Linked DNA regions of Struthio camelus. The protein of the gene in region 3 purifies or fractionates together with the protein of the main gene of each other region. This does not show direct contact. Links are inferred from orthologs where the notes say so. Each region holds a gene or a part of one and is shown on either strand. Other genes may lie near its edges.

What was found.
Region 1: the proteins of CANX (region 3) and EDEM1 purify together in Homo sapiens (affinity purification with western blotting; 6 studies listed by BioGRID and IntAct, with this or other methods). This does not show direct contact. The link is inferred for Struthio camelus from reciprocal best matches to the Homo sapiens genes CANX and EDEM1.
Region 2: the proteins of CANX (region 3) and ITGB1 purify together in Homo sapiens (affinity purification with mass spectrometry; 3 studies listed by BioGRID and IntAct, with this or other methods). This does not show direct contact. The link is inferred for Struthio camelus from reciprocal best matches to the Homo sapiens genes CANX and ITGB1.
Region 4: the proteins of CANX (region 3) and TMPO purify together in Homo sapiens (affinity purification with mass spectrometry; 3 studies listed by BioGRID and IntAct, with this or other methods). This does not show direct contact. The link is inferred for Struthio camelus from reciprocal best matches to the Homo sapiens genes CANX and TMPO.

What each region holds. Positions count from the first base shown.
Region 1 is NC_090955.1:2,469,838-2,476,669, reverse strand, and holds the start of EDEM1 (ER degradation-enhancing alpha-mannosidase-like protein 1), read left to right. Parts: upstream 1-3,831; 5' UTR 3,832-3,922; coding exon 3,923-4,317; intron 4,318-6,721; coding exon 6,722-6,794; intron 6,795-6,832. UniProt on the Homo sapiens protein: Extracts misfolded glycoproteins, but not glycoproteins undergoing productive folding, from the calnexin cycle.
Region 2 is NC_090943.1:16,831,251-16,838,178, reverse strand, and holds the start of ITGB1 (integrin beta-1), read right to left. Parts: upstream 3,022-6,928; 5' UTR 2,760-3,021; coding exon 2,751-2,759; intron 1-2,750.
Region 3 is NC_090954.1:6,908,275-6,915,228, forward strand, and holds the start of CANX (calnexin), read left to right. Parts: upstream 1-3,929; 5' UTR 3,930-4,011; exon of another isoform or gene 4,012-4,110; intron 4,111-5,788; exon of another isoform or gene 5,789-6,044; intron 6,045-6,536; exon of another isoform or gene 6,537-6,687; intron 6,688-6,954. UniProt on the Homo sapiens protein: Calcium-binding protein that interacts with newly synthesized monoglucosylated glycoproteins in the endoplasmic reticulum. It may act in assisting protein assembly and/or in the retention within the ER of unassembled protein subunits.
Region 4 is NC_090942.1:53,314,923-53,322,257, reverse strand, and holds the start of TMPO (thymopoietin), read right to left. Parts: upstream 3,016-7,335; 5' UTR 2,851-3,015; coding exon 2,608-2,850; intron 1-2,607. UniProt on the Homo sapiens protein: May help direct the assembly of the nuclear lamina and thereby help maintain the structural organization of the nuclear envelope. Possible receptor for attachment of lamin filaments to the inner nuclear membrane.

The DNA.
Region 1 (6,832 bases), on a different chromosome or scaffold from region 3:
GTCTTATTTTTATGACCTTGTGGTGTATTAGTCTTTTGTGGTGTTTGGATGATTTAAAACAGCCATCAGCTCTAAATACTTGTTGTCCGTTTTGTTCAGTTCTAAGTGATTGCTCTGTGTTGCTGATCACAGAGCAGCAGATCTCTAGACTAGACAGGAAGAAATGTTTGTGCACCCACCCACAGCACTGGGCTGTGTGAAAGTCCTTGAGAAGTGTTAATGCCCTATCGGCCGACTTATGCAATGTCAGTGTGGGCGGTGGTTTATTTAAACAAAATTACGGTGCAGCATAATTCTCACCATGGCTGCTGATGCAGCTAAGTGTCCTAGCAGTTGCACAGAGCGATTCTGCCTTACCAGTTGGCAGCGTGGAAAATGCACGAGTATGAAGCAGTATCATGAAGTATGGAACTAATGAAATTTAGTGTCTTGTTAATTTATGGGTTTTTTTTTTTTTCTTTACATCCTTATGGAAACAGGTTTGAAAGTCCTTTTTGGATGCTGACAGACATAAAACTGCATAATCTTCACTTTTTGGTGGAAGAAAGGAGGCCAAAGAAAATGCCTTAATCTCCCTGGTTAAATTAAGATATCTGTGTCATGCAGGGAGCTATAATAATTCAAGTATGACTTAACTGGATTATCAAGCTCTCTTAACTCCTTTAACATTTAATTTTATAGTTACTTACTCTGGCTGTGCAATGGGTGTGCTAGCATGTCATGATTTGCTTTGTGCCTGTTTCATGAATGTAAAACTACTTTCTTCACTGGTAGCATGCCTCAACACTGCTCCCTGCTGCCTTGTTTTTGCACTGAACCATACACTAAAGATAGCTGTATGAATACTGGGTATAATAGTGGGTATAATTCAGATTCTTTAAGCTGCCTTGCTAAGAGCTGTGTGTTGCAGATTAGATGAAGAGCAAATCAATGAATAGTGTTAAAGGAGAAGTAACGTGTGAAAGCCTAAGACCGCTCCGTGCTTTGGGACTTCTGTTCTAAAAATGACTTTAGAATGACGTATCTCGCTAAACCTTAAACCTTTTAAAAGTAATATATTGCTTTAGCACTACAGATGATGAAAGTTGAAGTATGCCTTGGTTGAATATCAGGGATTTCTTTTACATGTCATTTAAATGACAAACACAGAATGGCACTTAAAGGGGGTGCACACATACTCTTTTAAAAGAAGGGAGGTAAAACATTTTATTTTTATTTCCAGCAGAGTGGAAGGTGGGTAAGTAGACCTTTGTGCCCAGATTAGTGCCTTTTAATTACAACTTTGCAGGTTTTATTCTGTTAAAGGTGACAGCTATTATTGTGATCATTTTGAAGTGCTTCAATAAAAGTGTTGTTGAAAAAATGTTCTTTTGCATATTCATCTATAGTAGCACAGCTGTTTTTATGCCCTGTTAGACATATCATCACCAAATTGTGGGAAACATTGTTACTCTCAAGCGAAACCAAAAATATCTATGCTAAAATCTAATTCTATAGATCATCTGTAAGAGGAGTGAACATGCTGACTCTCTCAAGCGCTCTTCTAGGAATTAAGAGACTAGGTGGTATTGGTTTTGTACAGGCGGGCATATACACTCAAGTAACGAATTTAGGAACTATTTCCTGATTGAATTAGGAAATTTTACATTTTAAGCTGGTACTCTCATAAAATGGTGATCTAGAATATACTCATGAATGAGGCTAAGATTAATTTTAAAATGTCCCTCCCTCTCCTTTAGCCTACAGCTCAAGGGAGTAGTTGGGAATGCTGCTGTTTGAATGCTACATGGGCAGCTTTGTTTATACAGCTCTTCCTCATGTTTTTATGTATTTCCTCTTTTTAAAAAAAAAAAAGAACAAACGTTGAACTGTTAGGCATGGCGGTCAGGGAAAAGTACCATTTGTTTGTCACGTTGTAAATGGGTCTGTTCATTACCTTGAAATTGCATGTCTTTGAGGAAAAAGTCAAAAGCTGTTGCAGAGTGGTTGCTGGGACGGTATGTGCTCTGTGTTAGAAGAGTGGTTTCTATGGAAACCAGCAAACTGTAAGTACATAACTTCATTTTGACAGAGTGGCCATAAGCCTTGTACTCAGCAGGGGACAACTTTCTGGATGGTTGTTCTGTGAAACTCTACCCTTTCTGGTTACTGCGTTTGCCAGCTCTTCTCATTTATGCTACTTCCTAAAACCCCCAGCTGCCTTGGGATTTGTTCTTCGTTCACTTCCACAATCACATAACGTATTAGTTCATGACATCTTTGGCACTGCGGTAGTCACACTTACTCTACTTTTTTTTCCATCTTGCTACTCATGACTATTTTGGTTGTGTAACTTGAATTCCCACACTGATGATCGATCTCCCTCCTTGTCCTCACGTTCCAAATCCTCCTCTCAGCTACCTTGTTTTCTCTTTGCCTTTTTTCTCTGTAAGACAAGGAAGAAAGCTTGTCCTGATGTTAGAACAAAGCATTATTCCTGAGTTATAGTCCTACCTTTGCCATAATTCACAGTGTGATTGGGATATTCCACTTTTTCTCTCTGCACCAGGAAGAAGGGAGGGGGAAAAGATGTCTTTTATATGAAAGCTCAGGTGAAAGAAGAGCGCTTTGTGTGTATAATGATTTTTTGAACAACTTTTTTGTTTCTCAGTCTCAGGACTTCACCTTATTGACTGAGAGTTGCCCAGTTTCAGGCAGCAAGGCGGCTATTTCTGTCAATTAGACGTGCACCGTTTTTGGCCTCGCCTTTGCTGAGTGCCATGCAGTGACAGACCTGACTTCTTGTGACAGCTAAAGGCTCGCGGCCCTTGCGTGCTGCACTAAAAGAGCCCCCTCTCAGGTTGCCGGTGTGGGGACTGTGCCAGTAAACACTAACGCTAGACAAGGAGCAGCTTTGGCACCGCTTCTCTCCATGTTTCAGCGTGTGACCCCGTAGTAACTGGATGTTTCTCCTAGCGACTTTAAAGCCTCCCAGGACTTTCACAGGCTGGCAGGGGAAAAGCATAATCTTACCGCCACGCTTGAAGGAAAAAGCTCACTACTCGTGGGGGGCTTTGTCCAGAAGACGTGACATTCCTTTGAAGGCAGGCAGCTGCCACCAGTGACACCACTTATTTCCTTTCTTTAAAGGAAAAAAGAAAAAGCCAGTAAAAGTAACCACGATTCCTCTCTGGGATTCCCCCTCAGCAGAGGGATTTGTGTTGTGAACTAAGCACTGGCGCGTAACAATCTCCTCCCTTTGGAGGCCAGCAGACTTTGCGCTCCGCGCTGCTGATAACCTCTCCTGCCCGCCGTGACTCCAGCGGTGGCGCCAGCCGCCTCTCCCCGACGGCAGCGGCCTCCCGCGACGGCGCAGCCCCCCTCAGGCCGCTCGGCTTTGCCGCTTTGCGGGCGGCCCCCGGCGAAGAGCAGCGCCGCCGCGTCTTCCCTACAGGGGGCTGCCGCTTTTGGTCTAAAGCGTGCGCCTTTTCCTTAGAAACCAAGGCGGGCGGCGGGGGAGGCTCTTCGCCCTTCCCCCTGTGTAGCCGCCGCCGCCGCCGCGGGCGGTGCGTGGCCGTTAACGGCCGCTCTGAGGGCGGGGCGGGCCCGGCGGCCAGGCCCCGCCCCCTTGGGCCTCGGGGCGGGGCCTCGCCTCGCTCGCGGCCGGCGCGCCACGACATCCCGGGGCGGCACCGCCTCGCCCCGCGGCCCTTTAAGGCGGGCGGCGCCTCTCTGTCTCCCTTTGACTGACGTGGCGTAGCGCCCAATGAGCGGCGAGCGCTCCCGCCGGCCGGAGGAGCCGGCCAATGGGAGCCGCGCCCCGCCGCCCGTGTTTCTCTTCCGCTGTTAAAGGCGAGGCGGACGGAGCTGGGGCGGCCGTGGGGAGGCCGCCGCCGCGGCGCCTTTAAACGATGGTGGCGGGGGGCGGCGGCGGCGGGCGACCATGCAATGGCGGTCGCTGGTGCTGGGGCTGCTGCTGCTGAGGCTGGGGCTGCACGCGCTGCTCTGGCTGGCGCCGGGGCTCTGCCTGCGCCCGCGCTTCGCCTTCCCCTTCGCCGCGCCCCGCCCGCCCTGCTTGGGGGCGCCGGGCGGCGGCGGCGCGCACTGGGGCTCGCTGCGCGGCGGCGGCGGCGGCGGCGGGGCGGCGGCGGCGGGCGGGGGGGATGAGTACGAGGCGCGCTACAGCGGTGCCTTCCCGCCGCAGCTGCGGGCGCGGCTGCGCGACGCCGCCCGCCGCATGTTCGCCTTCGGCTACGACAGCTACATGCGGCACGCCTTCCCCCGCGACGAGCTCGACCCGCTGCACTGCCGCGGCCGCGGGCCCGACCGCCGCGACCCGTGAGTGACCACCCCCCCCCCTTCCTCCGCCGGGCGTCGGGGGGGGATCGGTCCCCTCAGGGGTCGGGGGGTGGTTGGGGGCTCCCCTGAGGGGACTGGGGGGGGGGGTAGGGGGGGTCCCCTGAGGGGGCTTGGGGGGGGATGGTCTCCTCAGGGGTCGGGGGGTGGTTGGGGGGTCCCCTGAGGGGACTTGGGGGGGGATAGAGGGGTCCCCTGAGGGGGCTTGGGGGGGATCGGTCTCCTCAGGGGTCAGGGGGTGGTTGGGGGCTCCCCTGAGGGGACTGGGGGGGGGATAGAGGGGTCCTCTGAGGGGGCTTGGGGGGGGATCGGACTCCTCAGGGGTCGGGGGGTGGTTGGGGGGTCCTCTGAGGGGATTGGGGGGGATAGAGGGGTCCCCTGAAGGGGCTTGGGGGGGGATCGGTCCCCTCAGGGGTCAGGGGGTGGTTGGGGGGGTCCTCTGAGGGGGCTTGGGGGGGGATAGAGGGGTCCCCTGAGGGGGCTTGGGGGGGGATCGGTCTCCTCAGGGGTCAGGGGGTGGTTGGGGGGTCCTCTGAGGAGACTGGGGGGGGATAGAGGGGTCCCCTGAAGGGGCTTGGGGGGGGCATCGGTCTCCTCAGGGGACTGAGGGGGGGGTAGGGGCTCCCCTGGGGGGACTTGGGGAGGGATCGGGTCGCTGAGGGGGGACTTGGAGAGGGGTCGGCCCTCTCAGGACTGGGGGGGGTAGGGGGGGTCCCATGAGAGGACTGGGGGGGCAGATAGATCCCCTCAGGGGAATGAGGGGGGGGTAGGGGGTCCCCTGAGGAGACTGGGAAGGGGGTCGGTCTCCTCAAGGGATGGGGTGGGGGGATAAGGGGGGGGTCCCCTGAGGGGACTGGGTGGGGGGGGTTCAGGCCCCTGAGGGAACTGAGGGGGATCGGTCTTGTTAGGGGACTGGGGAGGGTTGTGGGGTCCCCTAGGGGCACTGGGGAGGGGATCAGTCTCCTCAGGGGACAGGGGGGTGGTTTGGGGGGGGGCCTGAGGGGACTGGGGGGGGTCAGTCTCCTCAGGGGGGTGGGGGGGGACTGGGGTGACTGCTGAGGGGAGTGGGGAGGGGTGGGAGGTTTTGCTGAGGGGACTGGGGGGGGAATCGGTCTTCTCAGGGGACTGAGGGGGGATGGGGGGTTCCCTGAGGGGACTGGGGGGGGTGAGAGGTCCCTTGAGGGGACTCAGGAGGGGGGTGGGAGGTTGATTTCCTCAGGGGACTGGGGAGGGGAAGGGAGGGCTCCTCTGAGGGGCCTGGGGGGTTGGGGGGATCCCTGAGGGAGAAGGGTCTTCTCAGGGCCTGGCATGGGGGGGAGGAAGGGGAGGGTCTCCCTAGGGCCCGGCCCAGGTACCCTGGCTGCTGCCCTCTGCCCCTGTGGTGAGAGGGTGCGAAATCTGATGGGTTTTTGTTCTGCTGGAATGCAGAACTTGGGGTTCTTTGACAGCCAGGGTTAGGTAACAAATTTCTCAGGTTCCTCTGCCCTTTTTTAAATGTCTTTGAGTAACTTTACCTTTTTGATACAGCTGAACAGCTATGAATTGAGTTGAGCTATGAACGGCTGCAGTCAAATCCCTTTTCTAGTAAATCCTTTCTCCCCTGTTCTAATAAATGAACACAACATACCCAGCCAGTGTGGGACGCAGGGCCAGGACCCATGGTTCATGAGGGACTGCCACTGCCCTGTGTTTAACAAGGCAGGATCGTGCCCTGCTACTCGGTGCCATGCTGCGTAGCATCCTGGGAGAGGGGCCTTCAACTAGAAATGCCCCCGAGATGGGGGTTAGATAGACAGGATACAAATTTATATCCCCCCTTGAGCCAAATAAGGGTTTGGGCTGACTTCTGCTTCCTGGGCAACTTCCTATCCGTAAGATATTATAAAAAGCAGTTGTTGCCCCAGCCTTCGTTCTATATTTTGAGAGTATGGTGCTCACTTTTTCTTAGAGAATAATGGTAGATATCTGTACTGGAGAAGCAGGGTCTGGAGATGTCTCTTGCAGCCCTAAATTAAAGGTGTCCCTTGCTTTCTGTTTCTTGTTTGCCATGCTGAGCCATAGCTCAGCATGCAGGTTTCCTGAATCGCCCTTCCGAGGTGTGTTATTGTGTAGTCTTGTGTGTTTTTTTGTTGTTGTTGTTTTTTTTTTTTTTGGCCAGCTACCCAGAAGGGCCCTTATACCCATGCTGAAAGCGGAGTAGCTGAAACTTAAGGGGTCACGGCCTTGTTTTTTCTTATTAGCTTTTGGCCTTTCTGTGAGTTGAAAAATTTACATTTGAGACTGAAGAAAACAAGACGGATGTGTTGCTCGCCTTTCAGATAGCGTGACAGTTTTCTTGGAGTTCTATTTATCCTAATATGGAGTCTCTAACTTTTTTTTTTCCCAGTTCAAATCTGAATATCAATGATGTCCTGGGAAACTACTCACTAACTCTGATTGACGCACTGGATACCCTAGCGGTGAGTTCTCAAAATATCTGTATGTTTTATTCCCATAT
Region 2 (6,928 bases), on a different chromosome or scaffold from region 3:
ATCATAAGCAGAACTGCATCTGCCTTTCCTGAAGGAGCTCAGACCTGCAGGGAGAAGAGGAATATCAGGGAACCTGTCTGTCTGTTTGAAAGAGAGAAAGAAAAAACAGAAGAAGAGTATGCTCAAAAGGACAGTCTTTCATGATTTACAGAAAGGGTCTCATCACAGAGCAGATATTTCAACAGAACTATTTCTAAAGGCCACGTTACCAAGAGGTATTGGCAGCCAGGAAGTCTGTAACAGGCTGAGCACAGTGCTGGAAGAACTGCCTTCTTGGAGAAGACTTAAGAGCTAAACATGCATCACTTCAGTTGACTAAATCAAGACTGCCGGAAAGGCAGGCACAACAGCTATTTACAAACAACTGAAGACCATTCATACCAAAAGCAGTAAGGGAATCATGTTCACGTCAGCCCAAAATACAGCATGCATCAACCCTGTGCTTGCACTGCTCCCTCTGAGCTTGCCTTTTTGCTACCTAAGTTATCTACTGCCTCAGCTGCTTGCTATAGCACTGCACTCTTTTTTACATCTGCATCACTACAGATGTACGCTAAGAAAAGTATAGGGGGGGATGGTGAAGAGCAGAGGGATGAAATCATGAATCGGGAAGAAAGAACAGCAGGAAAAGCTTCCGGACAGTTTGTATTCAGCTGTGGGAATCACCTCCCAAAGGAAGTGGTGGAAGATTAACCCACTTGAGTCATTTAGAACTAGACAAGACAAACACTAAAATTATGCCCTTGTACCAGAAATTCAGGAATATGCTAGAGAAACTTGCATTCTTCTGCATCAGTTTTTCATAAAGGTGGGCAAAATTAGGCCCACCTAGGCCCTAGGATTATGTAGATCAGATTATCAAAAGTTTTAAAAAAACAAAACAAAACAGCAGACTGATCTCCCTGGCTGCATACAGAAAATCCACAGCAGCAACAAAAAGAATAGCAGTTTTTTAGCTGTTCAAGTTTTATTTTAAAATAGAACTGGTTTATTTATTATATGGCTGGCAAATAGCTATGGCACTAATCAACTCTAAATTTGATAAAGATGGGATTCTATTCTCCACGGTTGTCAAGTTTGCACCTTTCACTTTACTACGCATATTTGAAAAGGACAAAAGTTTAAGGCATCTTCATCATAAACTTGCCTCATCTTGCCTACATATTGCCAGCGGCTCACTGTTTTTGCAATCTTTATAAAGCAGCCTTAGGTAAGCTTGCAAAATGCTATGTAATCACTTGCTAGAGGCAAGTAATATTTTTTATGACAGGAGAATGTATCATCAGCTTCCTCATGAGGGTGGTTGTGAACTTTGCGCCTCTGCTAGAATGTCTTCACTACTCTGGAAATCTAGTTTAATTTACTCTAATTTACATATTTCTAGTAGCAAATTATTTCTTAAAAAAAAAAAAGTTGCTACCAAGTCATCTCATGTCATAGTTGCAAACTGATTTGCTTAGGCTACCACCATCACTTACTGAATGACAAACGTACCAGAAGCACAGATTATCTAAATCTATTTGCATATATGCAAAGTCCTACTCCACTTCAATGCTTAAGTACATGCTCAGCACCAGCCATGCGTGGTTTCACTGATCTGAATCCTTGCTCCTAAAGATATATGTGTGTTGGCAGGAACAGGACTGTAGCAATACAGCAAGGGCAAATCTAACAGAAAAATCACCATTTGCACCTGAGAAGTACAGGCACATATGTTGGCATGAATGGACTGCTGTGTTATACCAAGGGCAAATCCGAAAAAAAAAAAAAACCCAAAACAAAACAGGCTGGGTTTTTTTTTCTCCCCAGAATGAAAAATATTCTCCAAGTTTAATCAGCAGTCTGACATTCATTCCATCAGATAAAGAAATCTAACATTGGGTCAAAACACGACCTAAGCAGTGAGTCAGAAAAGAATTTTCTGTCACTTTATGTTTCCTTCCAAACATCGTGCGTATGAAGATAACATATTAGACATCTCGCATGTTAGACCAAACATTGCTTTTGCATTGCTGTAAACTACTCCCGAAACCATCAGCAGAACCAGACCGTATAAAGCGGCCTTACGTTCCCATAACCCCACTTTCATCCTCAAGTAAGCTAACAGCCAGCTGTAAAGGCTCACTGCCAGCTTAGAGCAAAAACGCACCAGCTTCAACGGCAGGCGAGTCGAGCAGTCCAGTGGCTGCACCGCGACCGCGCAGCCGTCCCCACGGCACAGAAGCCTGCTCTCAACGGCCGACTGTAATAGCCACGTTCAGGCCAGGGACTCTAGAGACAGGCGGGTGGTGAATTCCCGCACGGAGGCACTCTTCGCGCTCTTATTCCTTATTTCCTGACGCCAGCCCTGACCGCTGCGCGGCCGCCGCGCCAGCCCCCTCGCCTCGCCTCGCCTCGCTCCGCAGGGCCGCAGGGCGCCCGCCGCGCCCCGCGCTCGCCGAAAACTTCGGCTCCCCGCCCGCCGCCCGCCCTGCCGCTGCGGCCGCGGCCGCTCTCCGCTGGTCGCCGCGCAAGCCGGCGGCGCGCACAAAGGCGCGGCCCGGCCGCCGCCGTCCCACCGCGACAGGAAGCCGCGGCCGGGCCCGGCACCTTCCCGCCTGGTCGCAGCAGGCGGGCGGGCTGCTGCCTCCCCCCCGCGGCGGGGCACCGGCGCCGGCGGCGACTCCCCGCACCGTGAGGAGCGTCTCCCCCCCCCCGCCCCCGCCGGCACCGCTTCGCCCGCTCCGATCCCCGCCTCGTCCTCCCGCTACCTCGGCCATGGCCGCGGCGCTGCTGGCTCGGGACAGGGGGCGCGCTCCGGCGCGCCCGACTGAGGCGCCTCCTCTGTCCCGGGAGCGCGGGCTGGGCGCGGCGCGGCTGGGCTCCCCGTCCGTGTGTCGGCCCGTCCGCCCCGGGCCGCTCCGGCGCCGGCGCCGCTGCGCTCGCCTCAGAGGTGCTCGCGGGGAGCCCGGCGGGGGCGGGGGCGGGGGGACGGGGAAGAGGCTCCGCGCTCAGCCTGCTTTTACCCCGCCCCGGAAATACATAATACAGAATACATTCCTGTCCGTTGCCGTCAAACCTCGGGCGGGAGGGGAAGAGGGAAGGGCTCTGCCTGGGCGAGGGGGGCCGGGCCGGGCCCGCCGCCGCCGCCGCCGCCCGCGCTCCCTCAGGAGCGTCGCGCCGCCGGCCGAGCCGCGAATACCTCCGCGGGGGGGGGACGGGGGGCGCTCCGCCGGGCAGCTTTCCAGGAGGGCTTTTCTCCTTCTTGTCGTCTCCCCCCTCTCCCCCGACTTCGTGCCAACCTTCATCACCTTATTTGGTGGCGTTTTTATTCGCGCTCCGGCTCCTGGTTGCCGGGGGTCGGCGGCGGCTGCCTGTGAAAGGCGGTTTCCCGCCTTTGGGGCGGGGGGGGGGAGGCCGCCATGTCTGGGGCGTCCCCGGGGGTCGGGGGGCGTCCCCAGGGCGGAGGGGCCGCCGCGGGCAGGCGGCTGTGCCGCATGGCGGGCTGTGCGCGGACACGCGTGACTTCGGGGCGGCGCGTTCCCCTGGCTGCGGAGGGCAGGGCGGCGCTGCCGGGCGGGCTGGCGGCGGGCACCGCGCCTCTCCGAGCTGGCGGGCGCTTAACTTTCACACCGGACCTGGGCACCGGTTTCGCTTGCCGCTTTGTCGTTAAAAAGCCGGATCGTTTCTTTTTCAGGCGTCCTCCTTCCTCCGGCTCCAGCTGCTGCTGCTGCTGCAGTTCCTCCTCGCTTCTCTTGGCTCTAGTCACCGCTGTGAAGTGGATGCTGCGCTGCATCTTCCAGTTGCCACCTGGCAGCAACCGCTTCCCAGGAGCGGCGATGAGCCAGGCCGCAGCCGCGTCCAGCCCTGCGGCCACGGCCACGCGAGGCGAGGAGCCCGCTGAGAGGCCGCGTGTCCCCGCGCTTCGGTGGGGCACGCCGACAGGCCGACACGCTGCAGCGGTGCTCCCTAGTCAGAGCGCCGTAGGCACCTGGAAGAGCTGTGGCGTGGTAGAGCTTTTAGTGGATAATCGGCCAACCAATAATTAATTGCGAAAGTAAGGAAGGTTAATGAGCAGATGAATGGCTTGGGCGTTACACTTCATGCGTATCGTGCTGTTACACTCTAGGAGAAGACTAAAAAGTGGAACACTTAAGTTGCTTGGGCAGTACTTGCTGCTGATTGACACACGCTGTTAACGTTCCTTAAACACGCTTTAAAATACATTCTTGGGAGATGTACTGGCAAAAAAAAAAGTGGTATTAAACACTTATTTGAAGGTAAAATCTCAAGGGAAATGTAATCTATGGACTCTACAGTTCACAGAGGCAGACTGTGCCTTTATGAGTGACCCACTGCTTGAGCCTCTGTCAGTTCTTATTTTGGTATGATTAACTAAAGTGGTGCTGCAAGCTGATAATCATTTTATAGCTCTTCTTCTGCTTTATTATTAGTTGTGCTGAAAAAATAAAAAAACAGGGCTTCTGCGATTCAAATGTATGTTCAAATTGGCCAGTGCAGTTCTTCAGGATGTAGTCTCTCAATGTAGCTGCACTAGCAGAAGCTTTTAATGCTGCTACAACTATAATTTTAAAACTGTTTTAGTGGTGTTAGAAAATGAAATTGAAATGATAGGCTGCTGTTCAAAGCAGCTTCATCAAAGGTGAGCACAACAAATGAAGTGGAAAAGAGAGAGCTTTCTGATTGAAAGATAAAGAAGGCAGAGTACATATGTTGCATGTTAGATTAGTATGTAGTATTAATACTGCCAGAAATAAGGAAAGAAACTGCTATAAAACCAACCTTTTTAAAAAGTATGCAACACAAAATAAAGGCAAATGCAGAAGGGACAGCGATCTGCCAAAAATGTAAGAAATTTAAGTACTGAGGGGAGAAAAATGGCAGTTAGCCAAAGTCTCCTTCCATGCTCCTGTATTTCAGGAAAAAACCACGTTTTGCCAGAATATAAAAATGATGAGTAAAAATATACTATAGTATACTGCAAGCAGGTAGTGACAAAAATAGCCCTCATTCTCACTGCTATGTTTTGCTGAGACTGTGAGGTGTAAATGAAAATGTTTAGCAAAGAGATGCTTCAGGCACTGCTACATTGAGCTCAAACGCTGGTGTGTCACATTGACAGTGGCTGGCTGTGCTGTGCTACAGGATGTTGGCAAGAAAAATCCCCCAAACTGCTGGAAAGCTTACTGAATTATTTGACTGCTTTCTGGACTTCTTTTGGAGCATACAGATGCGTGTGAGGGCCATTTGTTATTTTCTAACACTTCTAAAGTACTAAAGATGTCAGAAGAAGTGCTTGAGGTATCTGAGCCAGCAGTTGCAATTGCAGATGATGTCAAAATGTTTATTGCAGTGTCTCCATATTATGGTATACATGACATCTGTGAGAGTGAACATGTTTTGCATGAAGGAGCTCAAGAAACTCCTGATTTTCATGGGTTGTTCAGGCAGCTAGGAAGTATGCTAGTCATTGTTAGGCTTGGTTTGTTAGTACTAGCCCAGATGGCATGTTCTGGTTATCCACATCCTTGCATCTCGTGGAAGATGGATGAGGAAATGTGACACGGGGGACAGGATTATGAAATGTTGTGCATTCTTACTGATTTATTTGATACTTCTGGATTTGCTATTGTGTTTTAGCTACATTTTTATATGTTTATGAGACAGCTTGGTTCTTTGTTACAAGATTTGGATACAAGTCCTTGACTCGTCCTTCTCCAAGTACTTGTGTGTTGTTGAACCAATATAATAACTGAAAAATACCAGAATTAAAATATTTTCGGTGAGTTTAATTAGCTTAACTTTATTAAAATACCATTTCATTTTCCTTTTTTTTAATGTGTATTTTATACTTGGGTTATGTTTAGAAAACAAGAAAGCCTGTAATTTGGTAATGACGCCTTTCAATTTGTGTGTAGCGTATGTTCCTTTTCTGTGAATGCTGTAAGAAATAAATTCCTGTGTTGTAGAGTATACCATCCCAGGAGAACTGTCGAAGTGATGTGTGCAGAGATATCAGCAAAAATAGCAAAACAGTTTGTAAGATACCTTTCATTTTTATGATTAATTGCATACCATATTATTGAAAAATTCAGACTTCTTAAGTAATCATTAAAATAAATATTTTAGTATATTATTTCTTTGAAAATATCTGAAGTATATTTTGCACATTAAATTACTTGGTAGGTACAGTTGATTTATTTAAGTGGTGGTGTATACCTACTAGAGTTTTGCTTTAAAAGCACACTGAAGTTCTGCACACTTTCACTCTGTCTAGCAATCTTTCAGTCCAAACAACTAGCAATAAGGAGGGGCCCAGTGTCACAGAACACCACTAAGTGGTTGGTGGAGCACCAGTGGTCTGTAGGCCGTGGTTTGAGAGTCTTCGGCCTATTTTTGGTTCATTTTTTTAATATACAGAAATTACCAGCATGACCAGGCAGTGTTGTGGATGCAGTGTCAGTCTGTGTCTGTATCTTGCCTTGAAGGTACAGGTTTTATTACAAATTTAACAGGCATATCTAAGAGTCCCAAACCAGGTTTTGTTGTGTCCAGTGCACACGTTAAGAGGTAACATCTATCCCATGGGTCAACTGTTTAAACTGGGGTTTGTCAGCTGCAGCTGGGAGGCTGTAGCTGAGTGTCCCTGCAGTGCAGCAGTCCCTCCTGGTTGCCTGGCTAATAACCTTAGCAAGGGGCGATCATTCACGTGCCTCAGGGACTGCCGTATCCCTGAGGAGTAGGAACTGGTTGGTTGGAGAAGCTACTGCAGCTTCTGTGTCATTGGGATATTTACTTGGCTGCAGTTTCCCAGTGGCTGCACACTGCTGTCTGTCCGATCTGTTTTGATGGGTAGCAAAGCCCACATGTCCAGGGGTGTCATGGCCTTGGCTCCTGCCAATGTCATGGCGTTTCCCCCACCTTCTCT
Region 3 (6,954 bases):
GTCATTTGGCCAACCTCCTAATGCAAATCACAGTCCCTCTCTGGGTCATGGTTCCCAGTGGAGTGATCTTGCTGTCCTTTGCAATACAAAGCTTGAGAGTCACTGGTGCTCTTAGGCCACTAAGGCAATAGTCTGTGATTACCGCGGGCAGTTTGCAGCTCTACCTGGCTGAGGTAGAGTGCCATGTTTGCATCTAAAGGGTATGCTGCATTTCCCCAGTGAGGGAACAACAAAACACAGCTCTCAAGCCACCAAAAGACACCTGAAGTCGAACTCTTGCTGCATGTGTAGCAGCTATGGTCAGATAAAAATGCCGTTAAGTTAGGTGTCACACCCTCAGGGAGGACACAGTTCTGGGGACGTCTGAAGGACACTCTCAAGCAGATCTAGCTCTGGTCTATGAAAGAACTGGTGGAAAGGGGCACAGTTGGAACCAAACTGTGCCTAAAAACCTGGCGCAATGCCCACGCAAGCTGTAAAAGCTGTGATACAACCTAAGGAAACCATCAGGATTGCCATATCCTATGTCCAGACCGGACTTGCACCTCTTGTCTTTTCTTGGATACTTCTGAGCTTCTGGGTACCAGAAGTTTTTTGTAAAGTTCCTATTCCCAGGGGCATTTCCTAGCCTCTTCTGCACTTATGATATCAGATGGGTTGCTTATCTTCTTCCACTTCCTTACTGTATTTCCCTGTCTCCCTCCATCCATCTGCCAGTGCTCTGACTCTGGTTCGCTGCTGCTTCTCTTTGCTACTTACTCTCCTACCTTTATTACAATTAATTAAAAACATTTACTTACATTCACTTTTCTTACCTTTGAAAATGACAGGATTTTATTTTTTTGTTTTAGACATTTAGGCCCCCTCTGTTTTGATAACGTCAGTGAATCTTACCCTGCTCTTTTCTCGGAAGGGGTTCCCTCCAGATATCTCATTGTAAAGAAATGCGTTTTCCGTGGAAAGCGTACCAGAGCGCATGGACGTTGCCCTGTATAGGGACGTGGGCTTGTCTTCCCTCCTGCAGTTCAAAGTTTGAAAGAGCAAAAGTCAGCATTCTCCTGCTGGTCATCTGCATTTACTGCCTGCTCTCTGTCAGTGTAGTGTCACTAATGTCCTGCTACTTCTGGCTTGCTTTATTTTCCACTCGCTACTTGCCAGTTTTCCAAAGGAGACTGATATCTGAAAAGATCATCTACTAATGCTTGAAGCGCAAAGAGAACTCGAGCTGTGTGGCAACGCATTACAGAGACTTAAGAACAGAAAGTACCTGCTGAAAATGGGGGAGGCTTCTCTACCTGATGAACAGTCAGGGCAAGAAAAGTACCCCTATAGGGCAGCTGTTCAAAGCCATCATTCACTCGTAAACCGAGGACTGCCTTTCACCTCTGAGACCGACGTACCCGGAACGGGGAGTCTAAACGTCAGGCTTTTCTAGCTTAGCCGCACGGCCCGTTTTATGTCTTTCAGAATTTACTTCCAAAATGAGAGAACAGCACGCTCCCCATGAGTGTATCAGTGGATCTAAACAAATCTCTTGTGGTCAAGCCTGCACACACCTAAATGGTTTTCTTCAACAACGTCGTGTTTGCTGTGTGGTCTCTGCCATCCCTCTTTCCTTCATCGCCCCTGTCCCTGGCATTGCACAAACTGGGCTAAAAATACCATGTTCTCAGCTGCCAAAGCACTTAAACCTCTGTGCATGCTTCTTCTCTTCTCTTTCTCCCTCTTTTTTTTTCCCCCAGATTATCTATCTGTCTTGTGTTGACTGTGTATAAAATCACAGTGTAGGATGTACTTTTAGCAGCTTACGTGTTTTTTAACTTAGAGCTATTCTCTCCACGCCATGACAAAGCAGAACAGGCAGGAATGGGTTGCAGGGCCTCCTGCCTGCCCCATGATTCAGCAGGTTGTAAAAGGAAGCGGTGCCGTCTTTTTTGGGAGAGGGTGGCGGGAGAGAGAAAGGGGAGGCATGTGTGACGGGCGTGTGGGGGTATATCTGACTTCCTGGTGCTTGAGCTGATCAGAGCAACAGCCTAGCATGGTGTTATCCTGCAAGTCACAGTTAAGTAACTCACAGGCATGAATAACCTGTTTCAAAAGAGGGATATTTGAAGGATATTTGGTGGGAAGTTGGATTTTGCCTAGACTGGGGAGGGAGCTTGCTAAATTATACGTCTTTGTTACCCTTTAAAGTATTCCTCTGTGGTGTTTTTAGTTTGCTATTTTAAGGTGCTTGGTATCTCACATGCTGTTACGTTGTTTGTGGCTGCTTCTCTGCTTGTCTGCCTTGCATCTTCTGTGCAGGTTCTGGGTGTCAGTCAGTCTACAGGGAGGTTTAGGAGCCAGGTTAGTGGCTTTCCAGAAAAATGTGAGCGTTTAATTCCAAACTTCAGTGTAAACAGGGATTTGCTGAGTTCGTTTATGCTGAGCCTTATTTCTAAACGCTGGGTCCCTGCTTGCTTTGTCCTAACGTGGTGGAAATTTCTCTGTGGGGAGACTTATGTTGCTGACTCATTGTGTCAACTCAAAACAGATTTATGTTTACAAAAAAAATCCCTCTTCTTTCTTTCTCCTTCCCACCCCTCTTAGCAATATTGAATTTGGTATTCTTACAGAATACCTAGTATCTGCTGGAACAGGCTGTAGTCCGCAGGCCATACATGAGCTTGCTTTAAACCGGGGAGTTTAGATTACAGCTTTCCATTTAACTGTACTCATGTGAAACAGTTTAGATATACCTTAAAGTGGTATTACTGATAGGATAGCATGAGTCTGCTTTCCTCATCTTAGGTCCTTGTTCATCCCTATCTTACACCGCCATGGGTACGGGGAGCAGGAGGCAAGGGAACTCTTGAACGTTCCTCTTGTTCTCTCAGTTACTTGCAAACCGGTTACCCGCCTCATGCCTTCCCTTCCTATTCCAAACAATTGGGACAGAATTTCCTCATTTCCCTGGGCTTCTAGAGTCATTGAGACATACAGATGTTTAGCATTTACACGGCATTTCACTTATACAGAAACAGATTGTCAATTTAGGCAACACAGCATTGCTTAAAACTTCTGGTATTACGCAAGGCCTTCACAGAGGAGGCTGCCTGAAAGGTACTTCATGTTTTAAATAGGTTGGAGTATATGTTACATTTAGTGGTTTTCTTAAAACCGCAGCTTGCAATTGAGCAAAAAAAAATAGACACTTTTTAAAACAGAAAACCCTAGTCAGTATAGTACAAAGAATAAACTTTAAAAGCCCTGCCAAGAGGTTAAAGAAATAGAAGACAAAGATGAAACCGGTGTTTAATTTGATGGAGCCCGAGCACCGGGACAGGCAGCGGCCCAGGGCCTCCCCGCAGGGACGCAGCACGGGGCTCTGCGGTGAGGCGCCCCGGCAGGCCCGGCTGTACCAGCAGACACAGCGCTCCTCCGCGGCGAGGGTTGAGCCAAACCCCGCGGGCGAGGGGAGCGTTTTGGGCCGGGGAGGCGGCAAGGCGAGAACCCTGCTCAGCCCCCTGCCCTGCTGCCCCGGGCCAGGCAGTCCCTGCGGCACGGGGCCGTGGCCAGGACCCACGGCGGAGGAGGTGCGAGGGAGCGGGCTACGACTGGCAGAGCCGGGCCTGGGCGACGGCGGACGCTCTCGGACGCCTTTCTCCCACCTCCCCCGCCATTGCCCTTTTAAGCCCCGCAGCGCCCAGGGACAAGGAATCCGTTGGGTCTCCACCCACATATCAACGGCCTCCCTACAGCTAGCCAATCGCTGCGCACTTCCTGCAACCCGGCCGACCAATAAAAGCGCTCCACGAGGGGAAGCGCCGTTGGGGCGTGTTTTGAGGCGGGCGGACCGCTGAGCGGCGGCGCCCTCAGCCAATCGGAGAGCTGGACGGGCGGTGGGGCGGGCGGGCGGGCGCGCTGCCGGGCAATGGGGGAGCCGGGGCGGGGCGCGGCGGGGGCGGGGCTGGCGCGCGGTAGATAGGCGGGCGGCGGCGGCGGCGCTGAGCCCGCAGGCACGTGACGGAGGTGAAGGCAGAGGAGGGGACGGGAGGTCCGCGGGAGAGGCCGGGGGCGCGCGGGGCTGCGGCGGTTGGCGCTGTCGGGGGGCGCGCGTGGCGCGGTGAGGTGAGTGCGAGCTCGCGCCTCGCGGGCTGCCCTCCCCTTCCCCCCCCCCCTCGCCCTTCCCGCTAGAGACGGGGCAGCTCCGTGACTGGGGGGGGGGGGGGAAGGGGAGAGCGGGCCCGCTCGCGGGGCATGCCGGGGTATTGGCGGGGTGTGGGGAAGCCGGGCCGCCCTGAGGGAGGTGGCGGGGCAGGCAGAGCCCGCCTTGGTGGGGGGAGGGGGATGCTGGGCCTAGGATGTAGTAGGCGGCGGGGGGGCCTGCGGTGGGGCCGGGGGGGGCAGCCGGGGACCCCGAGAGCCGAAGCGGGGGCGCTGGGGGAGCCCGTGCGGCTCGGGGTGGGCTCTGGGTGGCTGCAGGCCGCGGGCAGGCCTGGCTGGGAGCAGCGGGTCTTCTGGTAGCTTCTGGGCTGGGAGGCGGGTAGGGGCTGGGCAGGGCCTGTGGCACGGCCGCAGCCGGGCAGCGGTGATGTGACTCTTCGCTGCTCCCCTACCGGGGGGGGGGGGGACGACGACGTACAGAGGCATGGTTTGGAAGAGGGAGTAAGGAGGGGGGGGTGGAGATGGATGGGCTGGCATGTGGTTTGGGTTTTATCTAGCTTGTGGCGTTAATGTCGGCAATGACAAGAGGGAAATAGTCTTCAACTACCTGGAAATGCCAAAACGCTGAGGTTAAATAGGTGGCTCTGCAGCGCTGGGGGTGGGGGTCGGTATAGACCATAGTGTGTGGCATGATTCGTGCTGGGGGAGAGGAAGTAGAAGCCTCTGGAAAGGGGGAGATGAAGGTGAAGAACTAGAGGCCCAAAAAGTGGCAAAGGCATGGTAGGTGCAAAGGCGTGAGTGAGGCCAAAGGTGAACTACAGAAGAGAAGACTTTTTAACAGCAAAGACTGAAGATTTTGAGGGTTTGAAATGCATACTTTGGCTTAGCTGCTGAATATTGTTTCTGTGTTGGGTGTGTAGCGTGCATGACTGAGGTCTTAGTTCTTGTTTATCACTCAGATTGTGTACTTTCAAAAAAAAAAACCCCTCACCTTTGAATTAAAGTGAGTGTCGTCTACTGCTTTCTTGTCTGTCCTGCTTCTAAAGAATGAACTTTCATATTTGGCTTTGTGTTTGAGAACTTTCTAGGCTATAGAACGAGAGAGGCTGCAGGTGACTTGATTGTGGAGGGAACCAGCTATGTAAATAGGGGAAGTATAACAGAGTATAAGACAATACGGTAAATAAGATATGTTACTCAATCTAGACACTGCAACTGAAATGACTTCAGAGACTCCTTTCCAAAGCCTACTGTTGGTTTGGTCATGCTACATAAGTTTATCCAAAATAGTAAACAAAACTAGAAGCAACTGGAAGAACCTTTGAGTTAAATGTAGTGTTTGCCCTAAGTTTCAATATTTCTAGTTCAAAAAAAATCCAGAAAGATGAGGAGTTATGAAGGGAATGCTAATATGCTACACATCCTACATTACGAGCCGAGTACAAGATGTACATTGTTTCTTGGCATCTAATGCCTTCCTAAGAAGGGAAACCTAATGCAGAGTACTAAGAAAGCTTACCACTTCCGTTAAAGTACCCTTTTATTTGATGTGTCCCAGCACTTCCTCTAAATAAATGAATAAATCCTTTACTAAGACTACATTAAAACTTGTATTTAGTCCTTCCTTTTGCTTCATTACTAGGGGCAGAAAAATTAAAGGTGAGAAAAGGATCATGACCATACCCTGTTCTCTCTGGAATTCATTCTGTTGCAGAGCAAACGTGAATTCATTCCTAGGCATGACAGTCTGAAAAGTCTTGAGGCATCTCCAGATCTCCCCCCACCTACCATAATTCCCCTAACAGCCCATCTGTTTTATGGTCCAAAAACCTTGCAGTTCTGTCTCTGTCCTCCAAGGACTTCCAGTTCTGCATGAATGATCTGCTTGCTGACAAAGGGTACGTGGTATTTTCTCCTTTACTATGTCTGCGCTGATGTATGTTATTTTTAGAAACTGACATGTTTGAAGTGCTTATTAAAATAAGCATTGTTGCTGTCACCTTTCATAGCTAATCTCTTACCTGGTTTATGCTCCTTACAATCCAAACAGAAGGCAGTTATTTCTGTGGAGCTATCCTTCTCTGTAGCAGAAGGTTTAGGTAATCCTCTCTAGGAGGAGACTATCATAAAGTCTTATGTAGCAGTGTATCTTAACCACCCCCTCCTGAAAAAGGACCCCTCACACAGCGCTCCAGCCTCTGGCTTGTTATAAGCAAGGCAGTTTTAGTTTAGCCTTGTTTGTTCACTGAGTTGCCATGTTAAAGGCAAAACCTTCCCAACTCTGAAAATGTCTGACTGCAGAGCTAAGCGTTTAAGGGAAAATATTTGTCTTGTCTGCATCATATGAGTTGCTGCATATATGAACATAATTTTTATTATGTCCCCGCTAGAGGAGCGGACAGGTAACTTACTGGTTTCTGGAGTGGTGGAACTTGGCCACAAAATTGGTTGTTTGGCTTGGCTGGAAATCTCCCAAGTCTGCCTGAAGACAGCTGTGTCTTTGAGAAGTGAAGAAGATAGAAATGCATGTGAACTACAACAGTAAGCTGACAGTGCTCCCAAGAGCTTAGTTTCCTTTATCCATGGCTGCTTACTATCTTAGTGCCATCGCTTGTCCTGCTACAACTCTTTGTACCTTTGTATGCTGGTTTGGACTAGGAGATTGATTGAGAGTTTAAAGTCACACAGCAGGAAAAACTTGTAACTGTCCTAAAACAGGTATTAGTCCACTATGTGGCTGTGTAAACAGTTACCCTGGCACAGCTGAGTGGCCAGGTTGTGCACAGTGAAGGGTGAGGGGAACCTGGC
Region 4 (7,335 bases), on a different chromosome or scaffold from region 3:
AGACTCACAGATACAGAATGAATGCACAAAGTTAAGCTATGTCCAAAGGAACACCAAAAATCAGGAATCACAGAAAGCGCAGTGGGCCAGAACCCTCTGAAACAGAAAACTACACAAGTGCTCTTTCAAAGGCATTTACAAGTTAATACTAGCTTCGATTGAGTCATCCTTGATTGAAAAAACCTCTTGCAATTTTCAAATTAAACAGCACTCAAATTTAAGAGCAATATGGGAACCACAGAATAGAGCAGACCAATTAAAAAAATCCCACAGAATATTTTTGTAATGTGTTTCTAAAACATCAAAATGCTTGATTACATTAAATAGCTGATTGTCTACAGATTTAGAACAACTGGTTGCATTTTCCTTTCAATATACGTAAGTCAGTACTGTCATTTTTCCAGACCTGTAACATACATAAAAATGGAGCTAATAAAGCATTGCAATTTTGTTACTCATATCCTAGCCTAACAAAAAAATAAAAAAGCAATGCTGTTATACTTACACAGGTGACAACGCAGTTGCATTTCCATATGCACCCACTGAAAACTGTTTTCTGGTCTTTTACAAAAATGCATAAAACAAATACTTGAAATAAAAAAAATGAAGTTATCCAGAGGAGTACAAGCCTCAGTTTCCTCCCTTTTCCCTATATTCCCAGTTTCCTCTCTTACATAGATTTAAAAAGCAACAGGAGGGAAAGTAATCACTCATACCAGCTTCTTTCATTTTGCCTCCATACCAGAACTCCACTCCTCTACACATCAGACCTTCTTCACTCCTTTTCTCCCTTCCAAACATTTTGGAGACATATCACTCTGGAGGCCTGTATGTTATTCTATTGGAAGGACAGCAAATCAAAGCAGCACAACAGCTAATCAAGCTACAAGTAGGTTCAGAACTGCCTAAGTTGTACTATGCATCAACTGAGCTATCAGGGAGGGGAGGGGTGCAAAAGAAGCAGAACCCACCAAATTCCAACTGTTGCCACTACAATATTCTCTGAAGTTTTGCATCAAGGTGCACTGCTCGGAAGTTAACACACAGGAAGACTAGCATAACTAGCACAGAGCCTTGCAGACATTATTAACCAAAGTGCAAGAGTACCACCCATTCTGTAAACAATAAAATAGTCATCCATAATTGTTTAAGTGAAAGGACTGGAGAAAGGAGAGGGAAAAAAATCAGGTCTTGGGACTTCAGAAGTTGAGACTTCCCTCCTCTTACAACTCAAATTCAAGGTCATTCTCTTCTACTTGAAAGCACCTTAAAATGCTACAGGCAGATCACTGAACTGGAGAAGCGCCTAGTCCACGGTTAAGTGTTCTACAGTGAACATCAATTCAGTATTTGAATTAGGCACATATTAAAAAGAGGTAAGCAATTTAACTAAAAATCTCTTCCTCTTTCAGTTACAATTTTCAGTTTCTTAAACTAAGAACTGTTAGTTGTTCAGATTTGTATATGCTGTAAGTACAAAAAACCTTCGAAAAAGTCTGGTCCTCTGCAGCCTCTTTACAGATAAACTTTGAAAGATTATTTTTTGCAGACACGAGTTTTTTTTATACGAATTACAACTCTAGTAACCGGCAAACACCGCAGAAACCTTTACGCAAGATGAGTCAGTGTGTTCAGCTTCAGATTATGAAAAGATTGCTTTTTAAAGTATACATAAATTTACAAGGCACTTACTAAAATAACAATAAAAAAATCATATTATCGAACATAGAAAAAGTTTAAGTGTCCTGAGCTACAGCTACACCTTTTTCCTTGCACACATGCTGGTATAAAGTCTAGGAGAGCAAGTAACAGTTAATCAGCTGAATCCTTGCAGCAGAGGCATTTTGCTATGAAACACGTGCTCAGAGGTATGAGAAAGCCAACTATATTAAGCAGACACTCTTTACACTAAAAGAGTCCACTCCATTAAGCAAAACAAAGAAGCTGTTCCACCACAGTTTCATCCTCCCATCCGAGAGGGGACATTCAGATCAGGGTTGTTTCAGTGCAACTGAATTTATAGGAGGCTCCTGTCTAATGTTCCTGAGACGAAGCCTCGTGCACACTTTCTCTTGCTTTGTTTCTCCAACACTTGAGCACTTTCGCAACGAGACCGCCAGTCAAATCGAAGTCGAGACGTCCCAAGTTTACAGCCCGGGGATCTCACGTCCCGCACTCCCGGCGGCCGCGGCGGCTCCCGCGTTCAGCCGCGCTCCGCGGCCGCCGCAGCGGGGGCCGCGCCGCAGCCGCCGCTACCGAGAGGCGCACACGCGGGACGCGACCCGGGGGCAAAGCCGGCGGGCTGCCGGGCACCGCGGGTCCCAGTTAGCGGTCACACCGGGAAGAAACCCGCCGGTACGGGGCGGCCGCCTAGCAGCGCGCCCCGACCCCGCTCCCTCACGCCAGGGGCGCGATCGCGCCCTCGGCCGGGCCTCGCCTCGCCGCAGCCGCCCCGGCGGGAAGGCGTGCGGGCAGCCCGGGCGCCGCACGGCAGCCCCCGAGCCGCGGGGACCGGCAGGGGCGGGCGGGCCCGTTCGGGCGGGAAACCGGGCCGGGGCCGCCGGGAAGCCCAGGCAGCGCGGTGGGGGGGGGGCAGGCTGCGCTCACCCGGCCGACGGCGGCACCCCGGCTCCGGGCGCCGACGGGCGTGGGCTCCCGCTCCTCGTCGCTGGAGAAGTCGGGCTGCGCGGCGGCGGGCGGCGGGTTGCGGGCGGTGAGGTGCTGCAGGTAGAGCTGCACATAGACGTCCTTGCGCTGCTCGCCGCCCGGCAGGCTCACATTGTTAGCGATCAGCTCGCTCTTCAGCTTCTCCTTGGTCAGCACCGACGGGTCCGCCAGGAACTCGGGCATCGCCGCCGGCTGCCGCCCGCCCGGGAGAGGCACCAACAAAGCGCGGGCAGAGCGGGAGGGGGCGGGGAGGGGAGGGGGAAGGACTCGCCTGCCCCGCGCCAGCGACCCAGCTCCGCGGCGGGCGCGCGCACCGAGCGCTTCTCCCAGCCGGCAACAAGGCGCGCCCCGATTGGCGGGGAGGGGAACGAAACGGCCCTGTTATTGGCTGCCGGGCGGAAAAAGGCAGCGGCGCGCGGGTTCCATCGGCGTTAGTGCTTTGCGCGAGGGATAGTAACGCAGTTTAAATTCGTCTCAGGCGGGAGAGGCGCGCGAGGCAGCGCTGCCGCGGGGGGGGAGGGGCCGCCGCCGTCCCGCTCCCGCTCCGTCCGTTCCCCCCACTCCTCCACAGCGAGGGTCCGCCTCGTGGCGGTGAGGCGGCGGCGGCGGCGGGGTGTTTTCCCTTGCCGCGCAAGGGGTGAGCGCACCCCGCGCGGGTGGTGCCTCGGGCCCGGCCCTGCGCCCTTCCGCGGGGGTAAGGAGGGCCTGGCGCGCCCGCCTACAACCTGTTGCGGGAGTGCCGCGGGCTGCGTCGCCGCCGCGGCTCCTCGGGCACCGGCTTCCCCGGCGTGATCGACTTGCAGCGTTTGTCACGTGCTGGTCTTCAGTGTGCTCAAGCGAATGCCTCGCAAATACATTTAAAGCGTCTTCTCCCACAGTAGCCGAACTTTCTGTTACCGGTAGCGAAGTGCTTCACTTCCACTTAACGCGCTGCCAGCCTAGAGAAGAAACCCAACCAGGAAAGCGCTAGCTCGTCTCCTAGTATAACTGCGGCAGCTGTGATAAATTTTATGTTCAAAGATGCTGGAATCCCTTCTAACGTATTGGAAAAGTTAAAAGGCGGGTGTAGTCACTGCATCGAGCTGGTTTCAAAAAATTCACAATAGTCTCTCCCCGCTGAGGAAGTGGTAGGACTGAATCGTAAGACTGCAAAGTCTTTAGGACAAGTGAGTTAAATCTTTCTGTATTTACATAGTGCTTGCTGGGAATATACACTGCTATAAATCTTGAATAAATTGTATGGTGAGAAGTTTAATATTTAGATCTGAACGTACATCCTATGTTTGTGGGAACCATACTGTAGTTTCACAGCTAAGAAGAACTGAAATGTGAATCTATTTTAATTTGCCCATAAAACATAGATGTGAAACCAGGTGAGTACTGGTTGCATCCACTCCTTTACGTCGCCAGAAGAGAATGGTTTTAAACTGTTGTTGAGAAAAAGAACGTCCTGCTTTTGGTTTGTTCGATCAATGACAACAGAGGCTGTCATTTGTGTTTACCCAGCCATCGCTACCGTCTTGGCTAGATGAAGCTGCTGAGGGCCGTTTTGGTAAAAGAGAATTTGCAGGCAAATCCGGCACCCACCCACAAAAAGTCTGATGCTACTGATTAATTAGTGTAGTATAAGAAAGCAATTAATACAAGGGAGAAGCTTAGCTTGGGGACTTTAATTTTACCCCCACTGCAAGTAATGATACGCTGTGGTCATTGTCTGCATTCCTAATAATATATATCTAAAATGAAGAAACTATTCAGTTCTTACTGTTCTATACACTTTATCTGCTCAGTTTGTTAGACAATGAGTCTGAACTGTGGGTAGAAATATTTTTCTTCCATTAAGAGCCTACCCTGAGCAAATGCTGCTACTCCACTGTGATTTGACTACTATCACTTATTTTTAAGCCCAAATGGAATAAATTAGATGGTCCAATTTATTTTTCAGCATACCTTACCCAATGTTTTTCCTGCAACATGGGTATCACATAAGAAGTGTTCTGGAAATGCCTAGTGAAAGTTGAATTCCTCTCCAAATCTGACAGTAGTAATTTAAAGTGTAGATCATTTGTTTCAGGATTTGATTCAGATAACAAGCCAGTTGCAGACTAACATGGAGCATGCTTCAGACAGGCATTATGTGAGAGATTCTTCAGCTATCATGCTATCTTAAAACAAGAAACTCCATTGGCGTTGAGTCACAAACGTTTTCAAGCAGTGTAAGGGAAAACTGGATCTGGGAAATTTTAAACCAAAGTTAGCAGTGAAAATGCAATCAAAAAATTTGATGCGGGTTCCATCTAATAACCCCACAGACAACAGAGCATTCTACACTTTAGGCTTGAAGCTTGTTTTCTGCTGCTGCTGCTTCTTAGTGGAATTCAGCCGCAGTTTGCAACTCCTTGTAAAGTTCAGAATATGCACTGCAGTTGATGCTCCTTTCATTACGAGTGACCCTCAGCAGTGGGAGGAATGAAAAACGTTGATCTTCAGGTCAGTGCTCACCCTTCAGTCTAAGTATTTTGATGGTTAGTCTGCTTTTAATGCATTTAGTGTAGCATAAAAAATGCAACAATGAGATGATAATGGAGCAGTAAATCACTACAAAGTTACACCGCCAGTTCAGATTTGTTCAAAATAACTAGGTGGGTTAACTGGCTTTACGTTGGGTCTGTCTTTTTGTCCTCCTGGAGTCAGGCAAAGCTGGCTTAGAAGAACAAAGCCAGCAGAAACTCAGCATCATATGCTTTGGCTAATTGCTCAAAATCCAGTACTAGTGATTGTGGAACTTCAGGTTAACGTTACTTACAGTTCATATTTATATTCCGTTTCTGTTTCAAAAGTTATTTCCTCAACCATAGAAATATGTATTATTTGTCATGAATGATTTTCTCAGTTATACTGTTAAACGTCAGTTGGCGTAACTCCCTTGCTTGGACACTGGACTCTTACCAGCTTTCTGTTAGCTGCTTCCCAAGTTACATGAGCTAAATGGGAGATGAGCACTTGTTTCCTCCTCATGGAAAGTTATGTTATATTACGCTTTTAATATTACCTTATTGCAGGCCAGTAGATTTCTGTGAAGCAGGGTCCATAGAAAAACCTGTCAAAAAACTGTCCTTTACATCCTGTATAGTATCAAGTTGGCATACACAGTTCTACACTTTTCATTTTTGCTCCTTGGGAGCAACAGGCATTCTCCAGACAAGGTAAAGAAAGGGGAAGAACTAGGAGAGGTAATCAAAACGTGTACCTACGTTATGATTAACACTGGAAACTGCAAACCTGCAGCTATACCCACAGTTAGAGCTCAGTACATTTGAGGATCTGCATTTTTCTTGTTTGTTTTGTTTGAATGAAAGAAAGCTTAAATTTTGCAGCATAAGATAGCAGCCAGAAGGAAAAAGGGAATGAGTTCATTAGGAACGAGCTCAAAAGATCTTTCTAATGTTCTTACAAGAAAAAAAAAAGAAACCCTAAGCGATCTGTACGCCGTTTAGCTGTTTTGCATGTTAAAGGTTGAAATAGAAAACTATATCGCTTTGTGAAGCATTCCAGTACTTTAAATGAAATGTGTATGCCTTACCTCAAATTCTGCTTTTCAAGGGCTGAAACACCTGCTTCTACCTGAGAAACCTGTAGTCAAGTGTTACCTCCTGTCAGTATAAATGCAGGTGACAAAAAGGTTTAGGAAAAAAGTGAAAATTGGAAGTACAAGACTATGGCCATTTTCAGTGGTTGAAAAATTACTGTAAGCTTGCCTAAAAATGTGAAATATGCTGAAAGCAAAAGCCAAAAATACTTCCTATGTAGGACCCTCCCAAATGTCTGGAATTTTTTAGCTTTCCTGAGTGTGAGAAAGAGATTTTCAGTCATGCAGACTTTGATATGAAAACACTGAAGCCCTTCTAAATTATCTCAGATTTTTAGCTTAGAGTTTTGCCAGCTTTACAATTCTTAACCTCTAATGCCACACGTAAAAATGAGACCTTGTTTATGTTGCGCTACAATATAAATGTTAATTTTCTATGTCTGTGTGTTTAAAGATTATCCTGAGTTTAGTAGAGTTTTTGGATAACATTTACGCCATCAGGAAATATACCTTTATAATTTGCATTCATGTTTAATCTTTGTCTCATAATACATGGTAAAATTGTGAAAACTGTAAATTCATTAATGACAAAGACATTTAATGAAGTGCTACAGGCCTGCCCTTGCCTTAAACTGAGTTGATATGGAAATCTTCCTATCTAAAGGAAATGTAAAAGTCCTATATAAAATATTAACTCAGTCTGGATGCACGGTACGCTTGAAAATGAAAATAACATTCCCTTTCTGAAAGGCAAGAGAAACTAGAAAGCACATTCCTATAAGTAAGGGAAGCAGTTCCTAATCATTAAGGCATAGTGTAACTATACTTTCTAGAATCACTCAATGCTTTTCCACATTCTGGATTAATTTAGAGAACTGAGACAAAATATATGGCTTTTTAATAACTCTACCTTTCTTATTAGAAATATCTTTTTAAGCATAATTCAAGTGTAAATGGCAAAGTGATAAGAAAAAAACATGCCTTACTGTAAGGACGTACAGGGCAACTCTCTCTTGGGGGAAAAGTTAAACCTGTTCCTGAATTTGCAGTGGAAATAGTTTTTACCAGGTGGACAGGCC